4 linked regions of the Saccharomyces cerevisiae S288C genome follow. Changing the gene in region 1 together with any one later gene gives a genetic interaction. Each region holds a gene or a part of one and is shown in the gene's direction. Other genes may lie near its edges. The genes, in order: RPN4, GIM5, EAF5 and VPS71.

Region 1 (4,688 bases):
ACTTAGGATTATGGCACATTAAGTTGCGTCCAAATGACAATGAAAAAGAGGAACTGTATACTTGGAAGAAGCCCAACAATACTGTTATAGGTATTCTCATTGGTAATCCACAAGTTGATAACCACGGTGAAGTGAACGTTGTCAATCACACAACCGGTGATCATTGCAAGTTGTATTTCAAAGCAAGGGGATGGAGGTCATCAGGAGCATATGAAATCACAGGCGAAGTCTACAACAAGAAAAAACAGAAGGTGTGGATCCTAGGAGGACACTGGAATGAAGCTATTTTTGCCAAGAAAGTAGTAAAAGATGGCGATCTCTCGTTGGAGAAAACTAGAACCGCTGCATCAGCAGGGAATGGGCCTACGGATGACGGAACGAAGTTTTTAATATGGAAGGCAAACGACCGTCCTGAGGAGCCATTCAATTTAACACCTTTTGCTATCACGCTGAATGCTCCACAACCACATCTATTGCCATGGTTACCCCCCACAGATACACGTTTGAGACCAGATCAAAGAGCAATGGAAGATGGGCGTTATGACGAAGCTGGTGATGAGAAATTCAGAGTTGAAGAAAAGCAAAGAGCAGCACGCAGAAAAAGGGAGGAAAATAACCTTGAATATCACCCACAATGGTTCGTCAGGGATACTCATCCCATCACAAAAGCTAAATATTGGAGATATACGGGCAAATATTGGGTTAAAAGAAGAGATCATGATTTGAAAGATTGTGGTGACATTTTTTAACACGCCTTTTTTATGCGAGCTTTTTTCCTGGTACTTGTATGTATTTTGAATGTATTTTATTGTACTGAATTGTATTTTATTCTACCGCACATTTGTTTCTTTTGGCATATATAGTATGTTTACTTAACAATAGGGATTTCCTTCAGTTTTCCTAGATGTATCAATTTAGTTATCTTTTCGAACACTTTGGTTATGTCACCATGGTCAGATGACCATATTATTTTGAAATCCATATAACCAATTACAAAGCAAGCAACAAGCGAGTAAATAAAATCGTTAGGCGGTTACCATAACCCTTCGTTACGACGCTAAAGTGCTATATAATGCCTCCATTACGGCTGCGATAGAACTGTGCCTAAATTAGCGGCAGAGGTTGAAAACCAATCATCACTAACGTATTCAATATTAATTGTTGAGAAAACCAACTACGGATTGTTATAGAGATCAAACTATATGCACTGAGAGGACGTTACTTCTTTTTTTACTACCTTTCTGTTCCTGTAATAACAAGTTCCGTGGAACTCAAAGAAAGGTGCCTCAGCCCGTACGAACCTTTCCACGGATAATCACGTGATCGCTATTACTAATAGCCGTTTACAGTGATGGTTCTAGAAAGTTCCGTTTCGGCGAAACTTGTTGAGGAGAGCAATTCTATATAAGGAAAGAATAGTTCGAAGCCCAATTTGGGGAAAGCCCGGGATGAGCAGCCTAACCCACACGGATAATTTTTTATCGTTCAAGGAGGAGGATACGTTTTATCTCTAATATAAATTAAAGATAAACCCGAAACTCTTTTTTCTTCTTGGCGTGGAATATTTAAGGAGTAGATCAGTTCCATTTTGTTCATCCTTTTCTCCTCAAGGAAGAACTCCGCTTTTTAGTTGAACTAATAGTAGATAGTACTAATAGCTAATTTGTATCTTTTCAAAAGTTTTCTAGAATTTTCAAGCAATCATGGCTTCTACGGAACTTAGCCTAAAAAGAACCTTAACGGATATTTTAGAAGACGAGTTGTACCATACTAATCCAGGTCACAGTCAGTTTACGAGTCATTATCAAAACTATCATCCAAATGCTAGTATTACTCCATATAAGTTGGTGAATAAGAACAAGGAAAACAACACTTTTACGTGGAATCATTCATTACAACACCAGAATGAATCGAGTGCAGCTTCGATACCCCCACAACAAACCTACCATTTCCCGATATTCAACAAATACGCGGATCCTACTTTAACTACCACCACCTCTTTTACGACTAGTGAAGCAACGGCCAACGATAGACAGATTAATAATGTCCATCTCATACCAAACGAGATTAAGGGTGCTAGCGAAACCCCATTGCAGAAGACCGTCAATCTAAAGAATATAATGAAAGTATCAGACCCGTATGTACCGACACGGAATACGTTCAATTATGATGTTAAAATTTCCAACGATTTTTTCGATAACGGTGACAATCTATATGGTAATGATGAAGAAGTGCTTTTCTATGAGGATAATTATAATCCGAAAATGCAGTGGTCACTTCAAGATAATAGCGCCGCAATAAACAATGAGGATGCGAGAGCTATTTTTAACAATGAATTTGACTCTGATGACGACGATATCAGTGATGATGAAGAGGATGAAATAGAAGAAAATTGTTTGCAACAAGAGCAACACCAAGAGGAGCCTTTACTGTCATTGGATGTTACACCAATCTCAATGTTTGGCTCAGATCAAAAAACGGGTCGTGCCAAGAGTTCTAGTCATTTATTTAATGAGTACAGTTACGTTGACTCTAACATGGACAGCATTTCCAGTGTTGTATCTGAAGATCTGTTAGATGAACGGGGACATGAGAAGATAGAGGATGAGGATGAGGATAATGATCTTGATGAAGACGATATCTACGATATCTCTCTCTTGAAGAACAGAAGAAAGCAAAGTTTTGTCCTCAATAAAAACACTATTGATTTTGAAAGATTTCCATCTCCCTCAACCTCGGCAAACGTACCGTCTACTGCTACTACCGGTAAAAGGAAACCAGCAAAATCATCCAGTAACCGTAGTTGCGTTAGTAACAGTAATGAAAACGGCACATTAGAAAGAATAAAGAAGCCTACATCAGCTGTAGTAAGCTCAAATGCTAGTAGGCGGAAGCTAATTAATTATACTAAGAAGCACTTATCTTCACATTCATCTACAAATTCGAATTCGAAACCTTCGACTGCATCACCATCGGCCCATACGTCATCTTCTGACGGTAATAACGAAATATTTACGTGTCAGATAATGAATCTCATTACAAATGAACCGTGTGGTGCCCAATTTTCAAGGTCCTATGATTTAACGAGACACCAAAATACCATTCACGCTAAAAGGAAGATTGTCTTCCGTTGCTCGGAGTGTATAAAAATTCTTGGATCTGAGGGCTATCAGAAGACGTTTTCGAGACTGGATGCTTTAACAAGGCATATAAAATCGAAGCATGAAGATTTGTCGTTAGAACAACGTCAAGAAGTTACAAAATTTGCAAAGGCTAATATTGGTTATGTCATGGGTTAATTAAGGTTACAAATTATATAGGAGATAAAAGAAGAAAACCTCACACAAAATGGAAATACATATACACATCTATATATATTTACAATATATATCATATATCTGCATTCAGGAATGTTCTTATAAATATCACATTTTTAAAGTACCTCATTGGACTTATAATAAGTTTTCTATTGGTTTTCATTATACTTCGGAAAATACACAATTATATTATATACTTACCCCCCTTAAGGATTTTTTATGAAACCCTCATTACGGACTTTCTCAGCATTGATCTTAGCAGATTCAGGATCTAGGTAGAATTTTCTGATAAACTTAAGACCATTATTCTTATCTAATTCAACGACTAAGGGGATACCATTTGGAATATCAACATTCTTGATGTCATCATCTGATATACCCTCCAGAATTTTCAGTAGCGATCTCACTGAACTTCCATGGCCCACAATCAGGCATGAAGATTCATCATATTGATTGGCTAATTTTAATATGACATTTTGTAGAAAAGGATTCAATCTATAAACCACTTCACGAAGAGATTCGGAATCCGGTAATACAATGTCATGATTGCTGCATTCCAATTCATATTTTATTTGTCTGTTTGGCTCCTTGAATTCGTACCCAGTAGAAGAGCCCTTCTCATTTTCTTGTTGAATCATCTCACGGTCAAGATCTACAGGTGGTGGCTTACCCTCGTAATCTCTCCTAATGAACATATATTTATCCTTACCATATTCTTTTAAAACATTCGGTTTCCTCTGGCCCTGCCAGGAACCGTAATGACGTTCATTTAGCCTCCAAGTTTGAAGAATCGGGATTTTCATATTATCCTTGTCATCACTGCCAAATTCGTCTCCAAGTTTGATTTTATTAAAGTCGTAAACAACCTGCAGTTGTGGCTTTAACTTAAATTCTTCACACATCGTTTCTATGGTCTGTTGGGTCCTAATTAAACGTGAGGTGTAACCAATCTGGGGTAATCTCAAATTATTAGCTTTACAATATTGTTCGATTAGCTCGGCAGAATGACGAGCTTGTTCTTTACCTTTTTCGGTTAGCTTAGCGTCAATCCAACCACAGAATATATTCTCGTGATTCAATTCACTTTGTCCATGCCTTAACAAGAACAATGTCATGACATTGGATGGTGTGCTTGCAGTCATTGTTTACTAAGTTAATATATCTATATTTTTTTTATGTATTCTTGGGTTTAAATTGAACAACCTCGTATTTGGATGTGTGTCTCGAAACACTTCTACGTATATATATAAGCTACTTTGGATTCAAAGATAATTTTGTCACGTTTGTTCTGGTGGGAAATTTCAGCCAAAGGGAAAAAAAAAGAAAACGGTGAGCTCCGTATTATCTTCGTCGTGGGGTGATAACAACATG
Region 2 (5,331 bases), on another chromosome or scaffold:
GTCCATACATCCCAGGCATATTGAAAACTCTCCTATTGCGGTACTATTCTCAGGAGGAATTGATTGTTCAGTAATAGTAGCGTTGATCTGCGAGGTGTTGCAAGAAAATGATTATAAATGTGGAAAACCAGTTATAGAGCTTCTAAATGTATCCTTCGAAAACCCCAGGACTGGTCTTTTTCCCAGTGATACACCTGATAGAAAACTGTCCATTAACAGTGCAAAGACTTTACAAAACTTATATCCTAATGTTGATATCAAACTGGTTGAAGTTGACGTTCCTTATGATGAGTATTTAAAATGGAAGCCATTTGTTATCAATTTAATGTATCCTAAACAGACTGAAATGGACTTGTCTATAGCCATTGCTTTTTTTTTTGCGTCGAGAGGTAGAGGTTTCTTAACTTCTCTGAATGGGGAAAGAACGCCATATCAGCGCCATGGGATAGTGTTATTCAGCGGACTGGGAGCAGACGAACTCTACGGTGGATATCACAAGTTTGCCAACAAACCACCCCATGAACTTGTGGAGGAACTTACAAGGCAAATAAACAACATTTATGATCGCAACCTGAATCGTGATGATAAAGTGATAGCTCATAATGGCGTGGAGGTGAGATACCCATTTTTAGATGAATATGTTATAAAGTTATCTACAGCAGAAATTCCCATTAATTTCAAGGTTAACAAATTAATCCTTCGAAAAGTTGCCTCGCAGTATTTGAAGTTGGATGGAATATCATCAGAACCAAAAAGGGCCATTCAATTCGGTGCTAAAAGCGCTAAAATGACAAAGGATGGTAATAAGCATGGAACAGATTTATTAAAAGAAAATAGGAATTGTTCATAAATTCAAATATTCAATATATTTTGCAGCTTGTTCAAAATTAAATGCTAAAAGTAGAGTAAATCCGTTGAACATACATAGTTTTGTAATGTCATTAAGGGTATCTTCAGAGTTGTTATCGTCTACTATGAATATCAGTATATTATTTTCGTTTCTAGATAAGGGCTGCATTCTCCTAGAGATATAATCGACATATAATTTGTGATAAGTCAAAGTTAAGAACAGTACACTTCTTCCACGAACTAGATAGTCGTAGTATATCATATTAATTCCTGTTGAAGATACATATCTCCAATTGGTGCTCTTTAAGTGGTTCAGGAGTGGATTTTCTTTTTGGGTAGTGTTCACTAGTACAGTTTTTCCCGGTCGAGTACTCCTGAAGGGTCTCTTTCGATTATAGTCATCTGTAGCCTTTGAGTCGGTCCATTCTTCCGGTTTTTGCTGATTGAAGGCGTTTATGACCTGGTTTGAATTTATGCGTCTTGATGTTTGCGGTTCCTGCTGCTGGAGTTTTGATGCATCTATTTCTAACGATTGAGATCCAGTAGTATCTGCACCACTCTTTTCCTTTCTCAATTTGGCCACACCAGCCAATATACTTTCAAATGAAGTAGGATCAGTATTGTTCATCTTCTAGGATAACCAACTTTGTTTATGCCCTTTTTTGTGTTGCGTGGCTGTCTCATAAGTTACAATTTTCTTTTTTGTTCTAACGATTTTAAATAGAAAAGTGTCTTAGATGAAAATCTTGCTGTGACCCAAACAAGAAAGAGCACTGTAAAAATCAAGCCATGTCCTCTCAAAAAAGTATGTAAATGAATAGCTCCTTCGTTGTTGCCACCGTACAGACACTTTACTAACTTTTAAGTTACTACATGTTCGAAACTTAGTCGATTTAACTAAACTAAATCCCGAGCAGCTGAATGCTGTAAAACAGCAATTCGACCAAGAATTGCAGCATTTCACACAGTCCTTGCAAGCATTAACCATGGCTAAGGGCAAGTTCACAGAATGTATTGATGATATTAAAACAGTCTCCCAAGCAGGAAATGAAGGGCAAAAACTACTGGTTCCAGCATCTGCATCATTATACATCCCAGGTAAGATTGTAGACAATAAGAAATTCATGGTCGACATTGGTACAGGATATTACGTTGAAAAGAGCGCTGAAGCAGCAATCGCATTTTACCAAAAGAAAGTAGACAAGCTTAACAAAGAATCTGTACAGATCCAAGATATTATTAAGGAAAAGACCCAGTATTCCTTGTCCATCGAGGCCCAAATAAGACAAGCCGCTATTAGACAGCATGAAGCGATGAGTAAACAACAACAGCAGCAACAAAAAAAGGAGTCGTCTACAGCCTAGGTAACTCTTTTGCTTTTCCTACGATTTTTCATATCTCATTTGTAGCCATCTGATATACGTTTATCTATATGCAACGTAATTTTTTATTTATCGTCACTTTGTAGTTTTCCGGAAAAGGCCATTGAAAATTTTTCAAATTCCTATGGCGATGAGCTGAAAAAATTCATTAAGTGTGCATTCAATAACATCTTGTTATATACTAATAAAAGAGGCTTCAAGACAAAATAAGCTAACTTAAATATGGCAAAAAAGAAATCTAAGAGCAGATCCAAGAGTTCTAGAAGAGTTTTGGATGCTTTGCAACTTGCTGAGAGAGAAATTAATGGTGAATTCGATAACTCCAGCGACAATGACAAAAGACATGATGCTCGTCGTAATGGTACAGTTGTCAACTTGTTAAAAAGGTCAAAAGGTGACACTAACAGTGATGAAGATGATATCGATTCTGAGTCGTTTGAAGATGAGGAGTTGAACTCTGATGAAGCGTTGGGCTCTGATGATGACTATGACATTTTGAATTCCAAATTCTCACAAACTATTCGTGACAAGAAGGAGAATGCAAACTACCAAGAAGAAGAGGATGAAGGTGGGTATACTTCCATTGATGAAGAAGATTTGATGCCACTGTCTCAAGTGTGGGACATGGATGAGAAAACCGCACAGAGTAACGGCAATGATGACGAAGACGCTTCTCCACAATTAAAATTGCAAGATACAGATATAAGTTCCGAATCAAGCAGTTCCGAAGAAAGCGAATCGGAATCTGAAGATGATGAAGAGGAAGAGGATCCCTTCGACGAAATATCTGAAGATGAAGAAGACATCGAATTGAATACAATTACCTCAAAACTGATTGATGAAACCAAAAGTAAAGCTCCAAAGAGACTAGATACGTATGGCTCAGGTGAGGCCAATGAGTATGTTTTGCCCTCTGCAAATGCAGCTAGTGGAGCTTCTGGGAAATTGAGTTTGACGGATATGATGAACGTTATTGATGACAGGCAAGTTATTGAAAACGCTAACTTGCTTAAGGGTAAGTCGTCGACGTATGAAGTTCCGCTACCACAACGTATCCAACAAAGACACGATCGTAAGGCAGCATACGAGATCTCTAGGCAAGAAGTGAGTAAGTGGAATGATATCGTCCAACAGAACAGAAGGGCTGATCATTTAATCTTCCCGCTGAACAAACCCACCGAACATAACCACGCCTCGGCTTTCACTAGAACTCAAGATGTTCCTCAAACAGAATTACAGGAGAAGGTAGATCAAGTTCTTCAAGAGAGTAATTTAGCGAACCCAGAAAAAGACTCAAAGTTTGAAGAGTTGAGCACTGCTAAAATGACACCCGAGGAGATGAGAAAGAGGACTACCGAAATGAGATTGATGAGAGAATTGATGTTTAGAGAAGAAAGAAAAGCTAGGAGGTTGAAGAAAATAAAATCTAAGACATATCGTAAGATCAAGAAAAAGGAATTGATGAAAAATAGAGAGCTAGCTGCTGTTTCCAGCGACGAAGACAACGAAGATCATGATATCGCTAGGGCTAAAGAAAGAATGACTCTAAAACACAAGACAAATTCCAAGTGGGCTAAAGATATGATCAAACATGGTATGACAAATGACGCTGAAACCAGAGAAGAAATGGAAGAGATGCTAAGACAAGGTGAACGTTTAAAGGCAAAAATGTTGGATAGAAATTCTGATGATGAAGAGGATGGTCGTGTGCAAACATTAAGTGATGTTGAAAATGAGGAGAAAGAGAATATAGACTCAGAAGCATTGAAGAGTAAATTGGGTAAAACTGGCGTAATGAATATGGCCTTTATGAAGAATGGTGAAGCTAGAGAAAGAGAGGCGAACAAAGAAACCTTACGTCAATTAAGGGCCGTTGAAAATGGTGATGATATTAAGCTCTTCGAAAGTGACGAGGAAGAGACGAATGGAGAGAATATTCAAATAAATAAGGGCAGAAGAATATATACCCCAGGTTCCTTGGAATCCAACAAAGACATGAATGAACTAAATGACCACACTAGAAAAGAGAATAAAGTTGACGAATCAAGAAGTTTGGAAAACCGACTAAGGGCCAAGAATAGTGGGCAATCGAAAAATGCAAGAACTAACGCAGAAGGCGCAATAATTGTGGAGGAGGAAAGTGATGGTGAACCTCTTCAAGACGGTCAGAATAATCAACAGGATGAAGAAGCAAAAGATGTTAATCCTTGGTTAGCTAATGAAAGTGATGAAGAACACACTGTCAAGAAACAATCTTCCAAAGTTAACGTTATTGACAAAGACAGTTCTAAAAATGTTAAGGCCATGAACAAAATGGAGAAAGCTGAGCTAAAGCAAAAGAAAAAGAAGAAAGGTAAGTCAAACGATGATGAAGATCTCTTGTTGACGGCGGATGATTCTACACGGCTAAAGATAGTCGATCCATATGGTGGTTCTGATGACGAACAAGGGGATAATGTATTCATGTTCAAGCAGCAAGACGTCATTGCGGAAGCCTTTGCTGGCGACGACGTGGTAGCAGAATTTCAGGAGGAAAAGAAACGTGTCATTGATGATGAAGATGATAAAGAAGTTGATACCACTTTACCTGGTTGGGGTGAATGGGCCGGTGCAGGTTCTAAACCAAAAAATAAGAAGCGTAAATTCATCAAAAAGGTTAAGGGTGTTGTTAATAAAGACAAAAGAAGAGATAAGAATCTACAAAATGTGATCATAAATGAAAAAGTTAATAAGAAAAACTTGAAATACCAATCTTCAGCGGTACCATTCCCATTCGAAAATAGAGAACAATATGAAAGATCTTTACGTATGCCGATAGGTCAAGAATGGACATCCAGAGCATCTCATCAAGAGCTTATCAAACCGAGAATCATGACTAAGCCAGGCCAAGTTATTGATCCTTTGAAGGCACCATTTAAGTAACTGATATTTATTGGTGGTAAAAAAATGCATATGTGGCACATTCCACTTTTTATATCTATTTATTATGCATTGTGTAGAATAGTAATACTGGAATAATTAGAAAAAAATCATTTAAAGGTTATGTAAGTTATATACACAATTGGCTTTCTTTTGGATAAGTTGAGTGAGATGGGTGATT
Region 3 (5,856 bases), on another chromosome or scaffold:
ATAACGTTGATGACACTTGTTTCTCTTTTAGTCCGAGAAAGCTGCACGGCTTGTTGGAAGCATCTGCTCAGTTCGCTTATTGTGTTGACAAAAAAATCATTGGCACCCAGTCCTTTGCCTACGAGATCGTAACGGCAGTTCTTGCTTAGTGCCGTTGGAGGTAAATCACCCTCTATATCCTTTTCTCCATGGTAAATACCGCTATTGTTCATCACAACGATGACCAATGCCAGCTGACACCTTACTGCCGTTTCAATTTCCATGGCAGAGAATCCAAATGCGGAATCACCCTGAATCAGCACCACATCGAGTTCCGGATGAGATGCCTTGCATGCAAGAGCATATCCGAGCCCAATCCCCATAGTCGCGTTGGTCCCTGCGTCTAAACGGCGCCTTGGAGCGTCTGTAGGGAATGAAATACGCGCAATATCCATAGTATTTGCTCCCTCCGTCACAAGTATTGTCCTGTAATCATCGATAAGAGGCCTCAATGTTCCATAAACCTGGTTGTAATTCAATTGTGCCCCTCTAGTCTTCTCTTTCCTCAATAGACGAGTTTGATTCAGTTGAATTTTCTCTCGTATTTCTTGCTTAACACCACTATACTTCCAGCAGGAATCTTGGCGAGTCAATTCCTCAACTAAAGCGGTTACGCTCAAGCCTATATCTCCCCATATGGAAAGGTCAGCACCAGGTGAGACATTGTTATCCCCCAAGGTTTCGGGATTGGAATCGAACTGGATGAATATGGATTCTGAGTTCCATTTGGGTGAAGTACCAAAATGCAATATCCAGTTTAATCTTGCCCCGAGAACAAGAACAATATCCGCTATTTTCAATGCTTGAGATCTTGCAGATGAAACGTTCAGTGGAGAAGAGTCTGGGACAATTCCCTTAGCCATTGGGGTGGGTAAAAATGGTAGATTGAACGTATTTACTAGTCTGCGGATTTCGTGTGAGTTTTTTACCGCACCCTTTCCAATAACAATCAGAATATTTTTATTTTTATGTTGCAAAATAAGCTGTACGACTTTTTTGATCTTCGACGGATCAGGGCCACATATGTTTGGAGTTAATATCATCGGTAATTCATTTCCTGTACGGTCGTTTCCTTCTAAGGGTTTTTCATACTCAATAAAATCTGCAGGGACGTCTATGTAAGAAACCCCTGCAGTGCCTTGTATACAGTAATTCAAAGCCTTCTGAGTAATCATGTCAATATTGTCAGGGGTTAACTTTCCGGTAAACTTCAAAAATGGGGACAAAAGACTAACTTGATCCAACTCTTGAAACCCGCCTTTATGTATATCACTTTGAGAAGAACTCCCTGCAATTACTAGAAGAGGCCACCTATTACTCATTGAGTTGTATATACCAGCCAGTGCGTGGATTAAACCGGGGCCCCCGACAATAAGTAACACGCCGGGCTTATCACTAATATAACCATAAGCAGAGGCTGCATATGAGGCAGCCTGTTCGTTCCTGCATGGAATGAATTTGATACCGTTGGCAACCATCGTATCCGCTAGTTGGACAATAGGGATGCCCACAATTCCAAAGACTGTGTCGATGCCATATTTTTGTAAAAGTTGAGCGAAGTGTTGGGTAGCGGTCGTGGTCATATTGATGGATGGTTGTGACGGTTTGAATGTAGAGAGTATATTCTTCTTATCACATAAAAGTAACCAATGCCTTTTTTTTCCTTTATATATAATGTGGTTATATACCAACCTTTTGTAAATTTCCAACTTTTTTCTTTAGTTAGCTTTGCTTGAACTTCGGGCCGAAGGGCTCGGATAAGAGAAACAATAATTTTGTTTTCATAAAACATCGATGGCTTGACTACTTCTTTTATCCTGTTCCTGAGATTCTTTCATCTTGGCGATCTTACACCTTAGTTCCATAATAGGGTCTCTTACAAAATCCCTCATTGAAACGACTTGAGAACACGCTGCTTGCGGGCAATCTCTTGTCGTGTATCCTTGTAAATAGTTTTGAATGCCGTCTCTATCGAAGACGTGATTACATTTTCTTGATATCAATGGTGCTTCGTAAGGTTTGCAGGTGATAGGACAAGTCAATTCAATTTTACCACCTTCTATTTGTAGATCGTCTTCGTCTGCGGGGTTTTGCAGATCCGGTATTACACAAGTTGGATCATTCCATATGTACGGCAACACTTTTAGTATCTTGAGTGTATCTGTGTTATTAACCATGGTTGCAGGCTCTGGTGTGGGCATATTTAGATATAATTCAGATAATTTGGGAGCGGTGAGTTCTCCGGTACGATATTTATCCCAGGTAGAAAGGTCGATTTGCGGACAGGCATCTGAGGATTGTTTGAAATTTTTTTTTAAATCTTTAATATGTTCGTCAAATGAGTTGGATTCCGATTCGTATGTCGAGAGGAGTTTGTAGGTGCTAGTAATATCTGCGACCTGCTCTTCAATGCCGATGGTGGAAGGAGATGTAGAATCCACTAATTGATTTATGGTCTCATCAATTTGTTTGTAGCATTGTTGATATATATTTGATAAGTCTCGGGCATGTAAATTATGGAAGTACTTACCTGATTTTGGGTGTAGAGGAACTGACTTGGGTATAGGATTATCGTTCAAGGCCATTTTTAAAGTTATTCTTTTTTTATATAGTCTTGCCTTGGTTTCTTTAACTGACACGATTATTTTAGCAAGTTTTTTTCTACACAGGAAAAGAGGAAGAAAATAACCAGAGAAGCACTGGTAAAAAGATACTTCTGCGTGCCGGAGTAACCAGAATCAAAGGAACGCATAGATGGATAAAGAGGTAAGTGAATTGGTAGTGTTGCAGCTAATACACACTTTAATTTCCAACAAGAATGAAGAACTGGTTAGGAACGGGGGAGGAATCAACATGATTGGGAATAATCTTCGAATATCGCTAGTCAAGTTGACTAACGAAATACAAAACAATTTGCTAATCAACGAGCTGACAAATTTAAGAAGGCAAAGCAACGTGGCAAATGGAAACAGGAAACTGGGCATCAACGATATCCTGACCATAGTTAAGAATTTATTCCCAGAGTACAGAACAACACTAAACGATGGACAACTTAGTCTACACGGTTTGGAAATGCATGATATCGAGAAGCTCCTTGACGAAAAGTACGATCGATTCAAGAAAACGCAGGTCGAACAAATAAGGATGATGGAGGATGAGATATTGAAGAACGGTATAAAGACCGGTGCATCGCAACTGCAACCACATGCAAATGCTGGCAAAAGTGGATCTGCTGGTACCAGTGCTACTATAACTACGACTACGCCACACATGGCGCATTCAATGGACCCAAAAAGAGAAAAACTATTGAAATTATACAGAGATACCGTTCTGAATAAATTGGAAAGTAAAACTGGGAATTTTCAGAAGCTATTCAAGAGTCCCGATGGTAGCATTATCAAGAATGAGATAAATTACGAAGACATAAAGAACGAAACGCCCGGCAGCGTTCATGAACTGCAGCTGATTCTTCAAAAGAGCATAACGGACGGTGTAATGCGAAAGGTCATTGGTACGGACGACTGGAAATTGGCTAGACAAGTGCAGTTTGAATTGGATGATACGGTGCAGTTCATGAGAAGAGCACTAGAGTAAGGAGATAGTAGGCGACACTTCGAAAATCTAAAGTCTTGTAACATTACTATTATATACTATTTTATTAAAAAAATACACACACAATTCTTTAACAGAACAATATATAACAAATGAAGCGACATGTTTCTCAAAAAAAAACATAGTAGGTAGGTAAAAATGGGAAAGAACGGGACAAACAAAACGAAGAGCAGGGTGTATTTGCCCACACACGGCAAACAACATCCATTCACGCCCGCATGCCCAAAACTTTTTTGCGATAAAACGCCCACGCAAATCACATCGTTCCAACAGAGGAATCGAACAGCACAGATACAAAGTAGGAATATAGCACACACACAGGAAAAATTAATTAATTATTAGAAATTAAAAGGGTTGGGGAGAAAAGAGGTCTAATTTATTCATTAATATTCAGTAATTGAAAAAAAAAAAAAAAAGAGGATAACTAAGAGAAAACAACATCAAGCTCGTTTGGCTTGCTAGTGATCGCTTAGAATCTTTGTAAACCTCTTTGTCTAGCTTGCCATTTTCTGTAGATAATGGTAGAAATGATGGCGATACAAGCCAAACCGACTAGAATAAAAACTAAGATAACACCACCTGGTAACGTGCTCATCAACATCTTTGTATAATTGTTATTGTACTATTTATTGTTTTGTATGTATACGATGGAGAAAAAGAGAAAGGAAGAAGGAAGGACGAAAGAGAAAAAACTGGAAGGGAAGAAGAATTGATTTTATATTAACCAAGAGGAAGGAAAGGAAATTGAGTTGTGATTACGGAATTTTAGTTTTTTTCACTGTTTATTTAAACCAAAAGGTGTGGAAGAGAAAGAGAGAAAAAAGTTCTGTAATTCGTTAAGGAAATTAAGTATCCGCGCCGGAAAAATAGCGAGAGGTTTTTTTTGATGCAAAAGCTAGGGAGGGCTGCGGACGGATTTCGAAAACAGCTCAACAGCGTGGTGACGAGTTGCGTCAGGGTGTTGGCCAGTGCTACCGCGGGCGGCGCTGCACAGGGAGTAAGCAGAGCGGGCTAGAGCGCGGTTTTGGAGAGGGCCCGGGCTGCTGTGGTCGTAGGATTGCGGTAATTTAGTGGCTCGCCCTCGTTTGTCGTGCTTTTTCCGAGTTCCGAAACTCTTTCCCGAGCTGTTAATGTGCTAAAAGTGGTAAATCGTATATGATGATATACGTATATGATGATAATTTCCTGCGCGCTACTTGCGTGCATTCGTCACTCATAACAAAAAGAACTACACAATACGTAAACAACGTGCGAAAATATCTATATACAAGGGGAGAAAACAAAAGTGAAAGTGCATTACAGCCCATCACAGATCATTATAATACAATATGCCGACCAAGTCAACTTTTAGTCGCTGGAAGAAGGCGGACCTAATTGACCTGGCCAACAAGCTGGAAATTGACGGCTTCCCCAATTATGCCAAGAAGAGTGATATGATCGATTACCTCGAATCGCACTTGAATCATCTTGAGAAACCTGTGGATTTTAAAGACGACTACCCGGAACTAAGGTCCTTTTATGAGTCGATGACAGTGGACCAGTCAAAGGATGAACGGAACGAATACGGATCCGGATCTGGAAACGGGTCTGGGTCTGGATCCTGTGACACCGCCACAAATGATTCCGATCTGGAGAAAGCGTACATCAAGGAGGATGATGATGAGAAACCGCAATCAGGCGATGAAACAAGCGCGACAAAGCCGCTTTCCAGCAGGAATGCAAATTCAAACGCCAAAACGAACTTCAATTTGTTGGATTTTAGCACAGATAACGACTCGTCCACCTCTGCGTTTACTAAGTTCAAGTTTAACTTTCAGGAATACCTCTCCGATATTAGATACCAAACGCAGAAATTGAATGAAAATGTTCAGGACTATCTTTCCACTATTTCCGCCGTCGATACGATTTTTTCCTTGTTGGAATTCTCTTTTCTGGTGAGAAACATATTAGCCGCCGGGCAGCCAACTTCTTCTTCTTCGCTCGCATCGTCGCTGGAAGCCGCCGTTGCCGCCCATAATAAATATCAATACACGCTCGATTTCTGTTTACCAATACTCACGTGGCTGCTCTTCTTTAGGGGTATTCCAACGTTAGTGTCATACTACATCAACTTCATCCGCTACGACCTGAACATCGAGTTGGACCCGATGACTTTCAATCTCACGAAATTCTTGATTTCTTTGGCAATCTTCAAAACTTGTAATA
Region 4 (5,786 bases), on another chromosome or scaffold:
CTTAATTTCAGTTTCATTATCTTCTAATGATCTTTTCTTACTGTTGATAGTAGTATAGGCATTAGAGTCACCAATACCACCCAAACTGGAATTAGTTTGATGAGAATTTATCGGTGGGAGTTCTTTAAATGGGTCAGGGAATTCGGTAGGAGATTCTGGAGGTAGATCAGGGAGTGGGAGATCAGCGATGATAGATTCCTCGGTATTCTGTTCAGAAACAGTAGTTGGCGTTTTGATAGGAACAATATTGTGCGATGAATTATTTTCCGGTGGAGAAGCATCGATTGAAGGTGAACGGTGTATAATCCTTTTCTCAGTCTCTTGGTCACTTATCTGCGGAACAGTTTTGTTGTTGGTACCACCCGTACTGGATATTGGTACGTTTGTATGATTAGTCTCATTTTCACTGTACGAGTCTGAGTGTCTGAAATCTTTAGATTTACTGGCGTGCGACGACTCATGTGTGTTAGATTGGGACATGGGAGCAAGTAAAGGAACATTTAATTTATGCATACCACCCGAACCGGTACTCTCGATATTGGAAATTTGGGGGGTGCTAGATCTCTTCTTTGATGGAAGAATATTAGATTCAGATATGTTGGGGTCAACTTCTCTGGGTGCGCGAATATTGGTTTTAGAAACACGTTTCGAATCTTCAGTATGAGTTGACGGAGGTGTGGAATCGGTTGGACTCACAGCTTTTGAAAGGACATTTCTCGGTTGCTCAGGATGTAGTTCGATGTCAGATTGGAAGTCATGGTCAGATTCTATGTTAAGATCATCGGATTGTTGGATCTCATTTGACGCAATGAACGATTGATATGAAGCAGTTAAACGGTTTAAGTCTTCATCGAAAGTGAGTGCGTCGTAATTGAATTGATCTAATCTGGATTCCTTGCCCTGAAGAATAACATAGTTAGTTGTATCTACTGTCTTCTTTAAGGATGGAAGATAGATGATATATCCATAAGAGTTTCGAGACGGATGTAGAGCGTAGCCTGGGATGCCACGAGGATGTATTTTGGAGTTAGGGTTGTGATCATTGACGATAACAGGTTGACCGAAAGGTAACAAAGTACTGATATCAAGTCCTGCCAAGCCAGCATGTTGTCTTGCAGATTTTTTGCTTTTAGGTGAAGCTAGTGAATTTCTCACAATAGTAGAAAATTCGATTGCAGAGAACCATAAATGGTTCGGTAAACCACTACATTGCAGTTGAGTACGGCAGTCATCTAATAAGGTACGGTTGAGCCGTTCAGCGACTCCATGTGCTCGGGAATCCGCTGTGGTTGTATAGCATGGAGTTATACCATTTTTTTCAAGGAATTTATGGAGAGTTCTGTTAGTATACTCAGAACCACGGTCCATTTGTATAACCAAGACACTGGCCTGAAACTGGTTCTTAATAAAAGCTAGTATCGTAGTAAAAACATCGAGGATAGAGTCCTCGCGACGGTCGTGTAATGGATAAACCCAACGGAATTTTGTTGTCTCATCAGTAAATGAGATGAAATAGGATGGTGCACTTTTTGGTAGGTTGTGAACTGGACCAAATATGTCAGTATGTAGGTATTGAAAGGGTTCGTATGAATTTTGGTATTTTAGTCGTGAACCTTTGATATGTCTGTGTTTGGTGCTTTTGCCGATTAAACAATCAGGACATTGATAGTCAATAGCACTAGACCTGTCGACATCTGATTCGTTAAAATACGTGATGGTGTTATTTTTAAGTGAGTATCGAATTGTCTGTGCATTGGCATGTGCAAGCATTCGATGAATGAAAGGATAAGGATATTTGCGTGTACTTTCACTTGTATGGACATTATTGATGGTGGGTACGGAGATATTTGATGGAAGCAAGTACTTTTTAGATACCCAGTAAAAGTCTCCATATTTTACGATAGGTGCAAGTACAGTGCCGTCAGATCGTTCTAAGACGTTTTTGGTAAAGCATGCTGTGATATCTACTGCAGCCAATTCATTCAAACTGAGTAAGTCATAGGCTATGTTAGGAGTGTGCAATACCTTTATTGATGTTTTGGTGTTGTCCTGGAAGTGAAATTGTAGGTCACCAATAGCGTTAATTGGTATATTTCTTTTTTGAGCATCAACTACGTTTATGTCAGGATTAGATGATGCTGAGTGTATGTGATGAGCAGATCTTATAAGGGTTCGTGATGCTCCTGAATCGAGAAGGAGGTGTCCAGGGAGTTCATCATCAGAATGATTAGTGTGATTTACCGTAGATTCAGTAAGTTCCTGGCCTAAGGTGAAGGTCGTGCTTATTGTTCAATTGAATCGGTTCAGTAGTTGATTTACTGATGGAATCGTTGTCCGTGCTGGGAGAGTTATTAGATGTGGATACATTGTGAGCCCTGGCTGTTTTCGATTTCGAATTATTTGTTTTTTGAGGATTCCGAGCTATAACTTTGGGTTTGGTTGTATTCGTATAGCTGCGAGAATCATTCTTCTCATCACTCAGATTTCTCCTGTAATTAGGTTTGCTGTTTCTCGATCCCTGTTGTTCTTCATAAATAGCATGGATATCTAAGAACAGTTCAGCGACTGTCATATTTAGATGTCGATGACGTGTGTAGCGTAAAAATTTATATTCGCCAGATAGACCTCTCATAATTAATTGGCATGCGACCTTGTTATTGATATGAATGCCATTATTGTTCAGTCTGTCGATAATGTTTGTGACTTTTGTTTCAAATGCATCTGCAGGTGTACTGCCATTATATTGCAAATTTGCCAGGGTCACAATGTCGTTTGCCTCTTGGGTATCAGATTGCATTTTTTCAATACTTTTGGAAAGAATTTTCATGATATCCGTATAATCAACGGATAGGATGTCTTTGACCCAGGTAGGTAGGAATTGAGAGGGAGCAAATATTTGAAAAGTGTTATACAAGAAGGTGAGTTCATCATCAGTGATCTGACGTACGGGTTTTCCGTTTACTGTCGGAATAATACCACCGAGATTCGAGTTTTGTAAAAATTTGATGTATGTTTTAACCCAATTTGGAAAGTCATTAGGTGAGGTTAACATTGGTGGTGGTCTGACATATTTTTTAGTGGATGTCATATCAGAGTCCGCTGAGGATGAATCAGTAAATGTATTACCTGACTCAGGTGATGGAGTGCTCAGAGGCGTTCCAACTGATGATGGATACTGCGGAAACTGTGATTGTGGCCCAGGTGGAAAGTACATAGGCGACATTTGATAAGGTGTATACGGAATCATAGATGGGTGTCCGTAAAATGACCAACCAGATGGATTGGCTTGGTTTTGGGTCATCATGCACTGCTGTGGGTACGGCCCATTCTGTGGAGGTGGTACTGAAGCAGGTTGAGGAGAGGCATGATGGGGGTTCTCTGGAACAGCTGATGAAGCAGGTGTTGTTGTCTGTTGAGAGTTAGCCTTAGTGGAAGCCTTCTCACATTCTTCTGTTTTGGAAGCTGAAACGTCTAACGGATCTTGATTTGTGTGGACTTCCTTAGAAGTAACCGAAGCACAGGCGCTACCATGAGAAATATGTGAATGTTGAGATAATTGTTGGGATTCCATTGTTGATAAAGGCTATAATATTAGGTATACAGAATATACTAGAAGTTCTCCTCGAGGATATAGGAATCCTCAAAATGGAATCTATATTTCTACATACTAATATTACGATTATTCCTCATTCCGTTTTATATGTTTATATTCATTGATCCTATTACATTATCAATCCTTGCGTTTCAGCTTCCACTAATTTAGATGACTATTTCTCATCATTTGCGTCATCTTCTAACACCGTATATGATAATATACTAGTAATGTAAATACTAGTTAGTAGATGATAGTTGATTTCTATTCCAACAACTAGTAACACGAATACTACTAAACAAATGATATTTTAGAGTTCCATTTCAACATTATGCACTCAATATTCATTATTGTTGTTAAGGGCTTAATATTGTAGTTGTCAGAAAACTTTTACTATTCGGTGATTCCTTAGTGGCTAAGATTCACAAGTTCACAAGGGCGTGTGGTCTAGTGGTATGATTCTCGCTTTGGGCGACTTCCTGATTAAACAGGAAGACAAAGCATGCGAGAGGCCCTGGGTTCAATTCCCAGCTCGCCCCTTTTTTTGATATTTTTTTTGGAGTATTACAAAAACGACCATTCATTAAGGAAGTGAAGTCGGTGGAATAGCTAGAGAGCTTATATTTATTTAGTCGTTGCTTTATGTAACGAAGCAATCAATAAAATATTTGTGTTCTGTAGAAATAACTTTGATCCGGGTAATAGATAATTAATAACTACTTTTTTTATAATGAACATGATGATCTTTGTGAGTATTAACAAAAGTCGAAGCGGCCCTTTCAATCTATAGTAACGTCGATATCATTGATAGATCGAAGAAAAAGAACGGATCGCTTACTCATAACAGCGAAATGAAGGCGCTAGTTGAAGAGATTGATAAGAAAACTTACAATCCTGACATATATTTCACGTCATTGGATCCTCAAGCACGTCGATATACTTCAAAGAAGATTAATAAGCAAGGCACAATATCCACCTCTAGGCCCGTAAAGCGCATAAACTACTCACTGGCAGATTTAGAGGCCAGGTTATATACTTCGAGATCTGAGGGAGATGGCAATAGTATAAGCAGACAGGATGACCGAAATAGTAAGAATTCCCATTCATTTGAAGAAAGGTACACACAACAAGAGATTCTCCAGTCGGACAGGAGGTTTATGGAACTTAACACAGAAAATTTCTCGGATTTACCAAATGTACCGACTTTATTAAGTGATCTCACAGGCGTACCACGAGATAGAATTGAATCAACAACCAAACCGATCTCACAGACCTCGGATGGTCTCTCTGCATTAATGGGTGGTTCTTCTTTTGTAAAAGAGCATTCCAAGTATGGTCATGGTTGGGTGCTTAAACCAGAAACCTTACGGGAAATACAATTATCGTATAAATCTACAAAACTACCTAAACCAAAGAGGAAGAATACCAATCGTATTGTGGCGTTAAAGAAGGTTTTAAGTTCAAAAAGAAATTTACATTCGTTTTTAGATTCTGCGCTGCTAAACTTGATGGATAAGAATGTCATTTACCACAATGTTTACAATAAACGATACTTCAAAGTGTTACCCCTAATTACGACATGCTCTATTTGCGGTGGCTACGATAGTATTTCAAGTTGCGTTAATTGTGGAAATAAGATTTGTTCTGTAAGTTGTTTTAAATTGCATAATGAAACTAGGTGCAGAAATAGATAGTAATGATCAGTATGTATTCGTAAGCCCTTTTTTCTCCCCTATTTATACGTATGTAAGTGTAGATACTTAACAAAAATATTCACAAATTAATTGAAGAGGAAAGGTGAAAAATTCATAACTTTGCTTTTCGTTTATTCTCATTTTCCAAGGCGTCAAAAATTTCATCAGCAGCTTGAGATAAATAATAGTGTAATCTGTTAACACTGGCTCCACTCTTGGCTGGTTTGTTGACAATATTGATATGCAGCCACTCGTTATTCAACATGTATGCCAGTCCAAACCCGTTGTCATTTACTTGAGACCAACCATAACCGTCAAAATATTCCGAAGATAGTTGAGATGTGGAGATCAACCAAGTTGAAGAATAATTAAATAAGGGATCTTTGAAAAGGGGCGGAATTTGGTCATCATTAGATTTTAGCATATTCTTTAGACCGAAGAAATGACGATCGACACCATTACCATTTGCAGCATTTTTCAGGTACGTAGAATGCTCTTTT

The links.
Region 2: mutations in RPN4 (region 1) and GIM5 together harm fitness more than expected from each alone (negative genetic interaction), as found in Saccharomyces cerevisiae (8 studies listed by BioGRID, with this or other methods).
Region 3: mutations in RPN4 (region 1) and EAF5 together harm fitness more than expected from each alone (negative genetic interaction), as found in Saccharomyces cerevisiae (6 studies listed by BioGRID, with this or other methods).
Region 4: mutations in RPN4 (region 1) and VPS71 together harm fitness more than expected from each alone (negative genetic interaction), as found in Saccharomyces cerevisiae (5 studies listed by BioGRID, with this or other methods).

What each region holds. Positions count from the first base shown.
Region 1 is NC_001136.10:413,724-418,411, reverse strand, and holds RPN4 (stress-regulated transcription factor RPN4), read left to right. Parts: upstream 1-1,703; coding exon 1,704-3,299; downstream 3,300-4,688. Other genes in the region: oxysterol-binding protein related protein OSH2, read left to right, coding at 1-749; phosphoglycerate mutase family protein GPM2, read right to left, coding at 3,524-4,459. UniProt on the Saccharomyces cerevisiae protein: Acts as a transcriptional activator of a number of genes encoding proteasomal subunits. Binds to a PACE (proteasome-associated control element) DNA sequence 5'-GGTGGCAAA-3'.
Region 2 is NC_001145.3:80,637-85,967, forward strand, and holds GIM5 (Gim5p), read left to right. Parts: upstream 1-1,638; coding exon 1,639-1,654; intron 1,655-1,737; coding exon 1,738-2,213; downstream 2,214-5,331. Other genes in the region: YML096W (putative asparagine synthase), read left to right, coding at 1-850; DNA repair protein RAD10, read right to left, coding at 845-1,477; UTP14 (Utp14p), read left to right, coding at 2,454-5,153.
Region 3 is NC_001137.3:118,678-124,533, forward strand, and holds EAF5 (Eaf5p), read left to right. Parts: upstream 1-2,793; coding exon 2,794-3,633; downstream 3,634-5,856. Other genes in the region: PXP1 (putative indolepyruvate decarboxylase family protein), read right to left, coding at 1-1,622; SUMO ligase MMS21, read right to left, coding at 1,821-2,624; PMP2 (proteolipid ATPase), read right to left, coding at 4,121-4,252; GTT3 (Gtt3p), read left to right, coding at 4,980-5,856. UniProt on the Saccharomyces cerevisiae protein: Component of the NuA4 histone acetyltransferase complex which is involved in transcriptional activation of selected genes principally by acetylation of nucleosomal histone H4 and H2A. The NuA4 complex is also involved in DNA repair.
Region 4 is NC_001145.3:194,413-200,198, reverse strand, and holds VPS71 (Vps71p), read left to right. Parts: upstream 1-4,443; coding exon 4,444-5,286; downstream 5,287-5,786. Other genes in the region: YML040W (gag protein), read right to left, coding at 2,249-3,571; carnitine O-acetyltransferase CAT2, read right to left, coding at 5,399-5,786. UniProt on the Saccharomyces cerevisiae protein: Participates in the catalytic exchange of histone H2A for the H2A variant HZT1, an euchromatin-specific factor, leading to chromatin remodeling and changes in transcription of targeted genes. Indirectly involved in vacuolar protein sorting.